Saccharomyces cerevisiae S288C: one gene and its partner. The gene in region 1 interacts genetically with each later gene. Each region holds a gene or a part of one and is shown in the gene's direction. Other genes may lie near its edges. The genes, in order: SPO1 and CWP1.

Region 1 (4,521 bases):
GTCCGTTTTAGATTTTGTATATTCCGGCAATGTAGGAACTAAGGATGTTATTACCTCGAAATTAAAGGAGTTTGGGTTCAGCGATGAAATGATAGAAATGCCAATTGCATCCCTATCTGGAGGTTGGAAAATGAAATTAGCTTTGGCGAGGGCTGTTCTGAAGGACGCTGACATTCTACTATTGGATGAACCAACAAATCATCTAGACACTGTTAATGTGGAGTGGCTGGTAAATTATTTGAATACTTGCGGAATTACATCGGTGATTGTCTCTCATGATTCTGGTTTTCTGGATAAGGTTTGTCAATACATCATACATTATGAGGGTCTTAAATTAAGAAAGTACAAGGGTAATTTATCAGAATTTGTTCAAAAATGTCCTACGGCACAATCATACTATGAATTAGGTGCCTCTGACCTTGAATTTCAATTCCCAACTCCTGGTTATCTAGAAGGTGTCAAAACGAAGCAAAAGGCAATTGTTAAAGTAAGTAATATGACTTTTCAATATCCAGGGACAACTAAACCACAAGTCTCAGATGTTACTTTCCAGTGTTCTCTATCCTCAAGGATTGCAGTTATCGGACCTAATGGGGCTGGTAAGTCCACTTTAATTAATGTTCTTACTGGTGAACTGTTACCAACCAGCGGTGAAGTATATACACACGAGAATTGTCGTATAGCGTATATTAAGCAGCACGCTTTTGCACACATTGAATCGCACTTAGACAAAACTCCATCCGAATACATTCAATGGAGGTTCCAAACTGGTGAGGATAGGGAAACAATGGATAGAGCAAATAGGCAAATAAATGAAAATGACGCAGAGGCCATGAATAAAATATTTAAAATTGAAGGGACCCCAAGAAGGGTTGCAGGAATCCATTCAAGAAGGAAATTTAAAAACACGTATGAGTACGAATGTTCGTTTTTGTTAGGTGAGAACATTGGTATGAAATCTGAAAGATGGGTTCCAATGATGTCTGTCGACAATGCTTGGCTACCAAGGGGCGAATTGATTGAATCCCATTCTAAAATGGTTGCTGAAATTGATATGAAGGAAGCTTTGGCTTCTGGTCAATTCAGGGCTTTAACAAGAAAAGAGATTGAATTACATTGCGCCATGTTGGGGTTGGATTCAGAATTAGTCTCACATTCAAGAATTAGAGGTTTATCGGGTGGGCAAAAGGTTAAATTGGTACTCGCTGCCTGCACGTGGCAAAGACCCCATTTGATTGTTTTAGATGAACCTACGAATTACTTGGACAGAGATTCATTGGGTGCTCTTTCAAAAGCATTAAAAGCTTTTGAAGGTGGTGTCATTATTATTACGCATTCGGCAGAATTTACTAAGAATCTGACTGACGAAGTTTGGGCGGTTAAGGATGGGAAAATGACACCCTCTGGCCATAATTGGGTTGCAGGACAAGGTGCTGGCCCAAGAATTGAGAAAAAAGAAGAAGAGGGTGATAAATTTGATGCTATGGGTAACAAGATTAATAGTGGGAAGAAAAAAAGCAAACTCTCTTCTGCAGAATTGAGAAAGAAAAAGAAGGAGAGAATGAAGAAGAAAAAAGAGATGGGTGATGAATACGTTTCTTCTGATGAAGATTTTTAATTTGAAGTCGAGTACATCTCTTTCAGTGAGTAACTTATATATTTTTGAAGTTAACATCCTTATTCTTTTTTTATATTTTTATTTTTTTTATGTTTATTTTCTATTACTGATTTTCACAAAGAAAGGTAAAAAAAAACATACTTCAGCGGCTATACAACCATATTTAAGTAAATGCACTCAGAGAAAGTATACAAGTAAAAAACCTAAGTAAAGACATAAATATCCCAAAATAATGCAAAAACTCCTCTTTGTCTTTTCTGTGTTATTGACAGTAGTACTAGCAACAGCACCATTTCAGGTACAATGTCCTAGCTCTCCACTTATTAGGGAGGCCAAAGTAAGTTAAACTCTTTGCCACTTTAACAAATATGGGCCAAAACTAACCGAATATACCAAAACTTCGTATTCCTTTGTTTATTAGCATGAACTCTGTCCAGAAGAAACCTTGTATCTGAAGAAAAAAAAAATTAAAACGAAGAATAAACTGATTCAGTTTTTAAAATCCTTGACAGAGGCAAAGTTTAGTTCGAAGTTTTATAAACGCGTGTTGAAAGATCCTCCAAAAATTGGGATTGCTATATCTGGCGGCGGGTACAGATCCATGTTAGTAGGTACCGGATTTATTTCCCAAATGAACGATTATGGCCTTTTTGAATATTCGGATTATATTGCTGGATTATCAGGCGGAAGTTGGATCTTGATGGATTTGGTAGTTCAAAATTTTGAAGTAAAATCCCTGCTACAAGAGTGGGACCTTGAAGAGGATCTTTTATTAGGCATACCGGAATTCGATATTTCCGAAGAAGAAATTGTTACCAATGCAAAAAAGGAGTATAATGATAATGATTTGAAGATGAAGAAGCGTCAGGGGGGTTCTCTGATTACAAGCTCTTCAAATTTTTATGAACAAATAGAGGAGATCATGAATTCCATAGAAGAAATCCCAGAAGACTATATGATAACGAAGAGAAACTTGAATCCATTAGCAAGACTAAAAAAAATATTCTTTCCTAACAACACTTTCACTGGAACTGATGCGAAGATTGAAACCTTTAAAAAAGTGCTAGACTTTTACAAAAGTTTGCATTTGAAAATTAAGCCTAAAAAAATGGAGGGTTTCCAAATATCGTTCACCGATTATTGGGGTAAAGCAATCGTTCAAAGACTAAAAAAAAATTTCGATGACGATCCCAACCATTCCTTTTCGTTTTCGAAGCTTGTAAACTCGTCTAAAAAATTTAAGGAATGCAGTGTGCCGATCCCAATATTCGTTGCAAATTGCAAAAATGGACTTCTTTCAAACGTTATATTTGAATTTACGCCCTTTGAATTTGGATCTTGGGAAAATATCCTCAGACTTTTCGTCAAGTTGCCCTATTTGGGCTCAAAAATTGTTTCTGGAAAGGCCGAGAAGTGTATTAATAACTTTGATGATCTAGGTTTTATTACTGCGACGTCTTCTTCAATATTCAACAATGTGCTCATCTTCATCTGGAATTTGGCTTCTCAGTCCTCCAGAGAAGCAATGAAAGCTTTGAATATGGTTATGGGAATTTTTGGCCTAGGTAAAGAGGAAATATTTAGTATTTCGAAAGACTCCTCGAGATTAGAGACAGACTATGCCGTATATCAACCCAATCCCTTTTATCTTTATCCTGAAAAAGACAATGTCCTAACTAACAAAAATCATTTATACCTTGTAGACGGCGGAGAAGACGGCGAGAATATTCCACTCAGAACATTGGTGATTCCTGAAAGGGAACTAGATGTAATTTTTGTTCTGGATTCTAGTTCGGATATTGACAACTATCCAAACGGCTCCAAGTTAAAAAGGATATTCGAAAAATTAGATGAAGAGAACGTTCATTACCAATTTCCGAACAATGTAAAAACATTCACTCACCCCATTGTTATAGGATGCAATGCTACCAAAAGAACTGGACATGATTCATTTTTGCCAATTATAATTTATCATGCCAATGCGAATCATGGAAACGCATCTAATACGTCGACATTCAAAATAACTTACAATCAGTCTGAAGTTAGCAGTATGTTACCCACTGGAAGGGGAGTGTTTAGCAATGATTATGACCTTTATTATAAAAATTGCTTAGGCTGTATATTAACCAAAAGAACAATGGACAGGCTCCCAAGAAAAAAGAAATTTTCGCCATTTTGCTTACAATGCTTTAAAGACTACTGTTACTCATAAGAGAGTAGACTTTTTCTGTGAAATTTAATGAGTTTTTGTTCACCTTTTTTACTTTTCTTCTATGCCATATGGTTAAATAAAACATGGTTCAAACGCGATTCTTTTTTATTATCTATGTCTTTATTATGTAGTCTTCACTATAATAACCGTTAATGAGCGACATAGTTGCATCAGTTTTTAAGGCCAATTTGATTCAGAACCTTTTCAAGTTCTTCACTTTCCATCTTATCCGAAGACGCGATCTGGTGGCATCTAATACTATGCTTCTCGAATATCGTTTCATCAATTTCAATTTCACCATTTTTTAGGTAAACAATATCAGTAATAAAATCTTGCCATTCAAAGTCATCATTCTCTGAATGGACACCCTTAGATTGCCTATAGCCTGCTATTGCCCTACTCATAGAATCTATGATCATTTGAACGTAGTGTAAACCGTCTAAACCAAAAACCTCTCTATCATATTTATTATTTATGAGCAAAACTTTTTTCGTATTATTAGATTCCAAAATTACTTCAGCAAGATTACCAAGAATAAGGATTGGGAGTAAACTTGTCATTAAAGAACCGATAGAATAAACGACCATGTCAGCTTTTTTCACCTTGGAAATAGCTCTTGGATTTCCCATTGGTTTTATCTCTTCGCCATATGGGTTTATATACAATATCCTATGTACCGGAGCAGGTAGAT
Region 2 (3,381 bases), on another chromosome or scaffold:
CTCTTCTTGCCATCCCTTTTCCTATCTTTGTTCTTTTCTTCTCATAATCAAGAATAAATAACTTCATCACATTCGCTACACACTAACAAGAAAAAAAATGCAATTCTCTACTGTCGCTTCCGTTGCTTTCGTCGCTTTGGCTAACTTTGTTGCCGCTGAATCCGCTGCCGCCATTTCTCAAATCACTGACGGTCAAATCCAAGCTACTACCACTGCTACCACCGAAGCTACCACCACTGCTGCCCCATCTTCCACCGTTGAAACTGTTTCTCCATCCAGCACCGAAACTATCTCTCAACAAACTGAAAATGGTGCTGCTAAGGCCGCTGTCGGTATGGGTGCCGGTGCTCTAGCTGCTGCTGCTATGTTGTTATAAGAAATCTCTGATTTTTTATAATATCTATATGGCTTTTTTCAAAATTTTCGGTTTTACTAGGTAAGTGTTTGATTCTTTTCTTTTCGTTAATATATTTTTACACATAATTTTAAATAATTTTTGTTATTTTGAATAGGTAGATACCATAAAAATAAAACACTTTTTACTTTAACGATGTTCCTGTGATTTCTCTTCGAATGAGTCAAAAATTTGAACTCGAAATGAATGTATTAGAGACTGGGTTTCTTCGAGTTTGCTGAGATCTTGGCTATGCACAATGTTTCCTGCGCCCCTAAGGTGAAAAAAACATGCATGCTTGTTTCAACAGACCAGTGTGCATAAAGAATTTCGCCCTTAGCTGCGATTAAAGAGTCAAGGCGTGAAAAACATAGGCGAAAGTGCTGACCGTTCTTCCCTTTATCTTTTTACCATCTTCGTTATCTGTTACCTGTTCAAAAGAAAGTGGGAAAGATATTGGTGTGCTACGGTGGGATCTTTTTTTTCTGCCATTTTCTATACTTTACTTCCACTTATAAAATATTTTACAAATTCAAGGGAGACGTGTGACAAAATAATAATCTAGAACTCAATGAACTTTTGTCCTCACTACAATTGCCCCTCGGATGGATTTGAACTTACAAGAAATATCACGTTGGCGCGCGCTAAAGTCGCTTGCCAATGCGCTATGAAATTTTCATGACCTGGCACATTTTAGCACAGTGCCATTAATCCCTTTATTATGGGCATTGATGCGACTTTAAAACTGTACCTTCCTTCGCACATGCTGAATTTTCTTAATGAGATTCATCTACGATGCTTTAGAGCTAGCCTTGTTTTCTTTTTTATGCTTCAAGAGTAAGTAGTGAAGAACCCCACTAGACAAATACTAAGGGATGCTGCAACCACGTCTTATACTTCACCCATACATAACATTGGAATCTCATTAATTTTTGCAAAGATATGGTGAACAAGTTTCAAAATAAGAATGTATGTGTACCGAATCGTAGCTCGAGGTAATAATGAAAAAAAAAATCGGACATCTGGAAAGTTACGAATATAGAAGCAGATACCCCTCTTGACGGCAAACATTGTGTGCTCGACCTTCTATCCCGTTAAAATATCATAATAAACAAACCCCTCCCGCGAAAACAAAAAAAGAGAGCTAAAAAAAGTACTTCTTCGCGTTATAGATGGTGCCGCACCGTACGTCATAACTAAAAATAGCGTTAGCCACAGCTCCCTGAACGAAAAGGGCCCTTCGGCCCGATTGGAATACGGGTCCGCTTACGTCTGTGCGTGCGGGTTGTCCCACAACGGTAACTTACTCCAGGAGAGCCATCTCGAAGGTGCCACAAAAGAAAACAAAAAAAACAACAAACAATAAGCTCTGTGGTTCACGTTCAATGTAGTGTTTTTTCACCTTTTAATTTTGATAATTTGTGGTGCAGAAAAAAAAAAAGCAAACAAACAAAATCTCAATTATTTAAAGGACGATCTTAACGTTTCTTTCTTTCGCTATCTTCCTTGAATTTTTTTTCTGTCTGAAGTAAAATATCCCGTAACAAACTAATAAATACTACGAAAGTCTCAAAAAACAATAATGAAATTCTCCACTGCTTTGTCTGTCGCTTTATTCGCCTTGGCTAAGATGGTCATTGCCGATTCCGAAGAATTCGGCCTGGTGAGTATCCGTTCCGGCTCGGATTTACAATACTTGAGTGTTTACAGTGATAACGGCACTTTGAAACTTGGCAGCGGTAGTGGCTCATTTGAGGCAACTATTACCGATGACGGTAAACTGAAATTTGACGACGATAAGTATGCTGTTGTCAATGAGGATGGCTCATTCAAAGAAGGTTCTGAGAGCGATGCTGCCACTGGTTTTTCTATTAAAGATGGCCATCTAAACTACAAGAGCTCTTCTGGTTTCTACGCTATCAAGGACGGGTCGTCTTACATTTTCTCTTCTAAGCAATCCGACGACGCTACCGGTGTTGCGATTAGACCAACTAGTAAGAGCGGATCTGTTGCAGCAGATTTTTCTCCAAGCGACTCTAGTTCCTCTTCATCTGCTTCTGCTTCGTCTGCTTCCGCATCATCTTCTACAAAGCATAGTTCGAGTATAGAATCTGTCGAGACCTCTACTACTGTGGAAACTTCCTCTGCTAGCTCCCCAACTGCTTCAGTTATCTCTCAAATTACTGATGGACAAATCCAAGCTCCAAACACAGTTTACGAACAAACAGAAAATGCAGGTGCCAAGGCTGCCGTCGGCATGGGTGCTGGTGCTCTAGCGGTCGCAGCTGCTTACTTGTTGTAAGTACGAGAACAAAACCTGCATGTTTTATTTCCTTCAATATAGCTTTCTACATAATGATCACTTACATATAGCGTAATGTAATATGAAATGGCCCATAATATTCTCTTACATTGTCCTCCTACCTACATTCCTTTTCTTGCATGCAGCTCTCACATTCCCCGATTCGCTTGAAAAATTTAAACTTGTAGAAAAGTAGGTGAATGTCCCGCCGGCGGTTTCTCTGCTGCATGTAGAAAGATGGATATACAGAAAAGGAGATAAGAGTAGCTATCTCAAGTTTGTTCCACTGACTGCTAATACGCATAGAGTTGTTATTTATTGTACATATTCGAAAAAAAGCAAGAAATCACTACGGTGACCTCAGTAGAACGAACTAATAAGTCAAACCAAATTAACCGTTTCCAGGCTGATAGGAGAATACAAGAATGTCTGAAAGAAAAGCTATTAACAAGTACTATCCACCGGATTACAACCCACTGGAAGCTGAAAAGCTATCCAGGAAAATGGCTAAAAAACTGAAAACCATGAATAAGAGCCACGCATCGATTAGATTAATGACCCCATTTAGTATGAGGTGTTTGGAATGTAACGAATATATTCCCAAAAGCAGAAAATTCAATGGTAAGAAAGAGCTACTGAAGGAGAAGTACCTGGACTCCATTAAGATATATAGACTAACCATTTC

What was found.
Region 2: of SPO1 (region 1) and CWP1, extra expression of one rescues a mutant of the other (dosage rescue), as found in Saccharomyces cerevisiae (2 studies listed by BioGRID, with this or other methods).

Annotation. Positions count from the first base shown.
Region 1 is NC_001146.8:607,836-612,356, forward strand, and holds SPO1 (putative carboxylic ester hydrolase), read left to right. Parts: upstream 1-1,850; coding exon 1,851-1,955; intron 1,956-2,039; coding exon 2,040-3,830; downstream 3,831-4,521. Other genes in the region: HEF3 (translation elongation factor EF-3), read left to right, coding at 1-1,618; YNL011C (uncharacterized protein), read right to left, coding at 4,001-4,521. UniProt on the Saccharomyces cerevisiae protein: Regulates spindle pole duplication in meiosis I, but not in mitosis. Required for meiosis I, meiosis II chromosome segregation and spore formation. Binds phosphatidylinositol (4)P mono- and polyphosphates.
Region 2 is NC_001143.9:259,156-262,536, forward strand, and holds CWP1 (Cwp1p), read left to right. Parts: upstream 1-1,976; coding exon 1,977-2,696; downstream 2,697-3,381. Other genes in the region: YKL096C-B (uncharacterized protein), read right to left, coding at 1-67; CWP2 (Cwp2p), read left to right, coding at 98-376; mRNA splicing protein YJU2, read left to right, coding at 3,122-3,381. UniProt on the Saccharomyces cerevisiae protein: Component of the cell wall.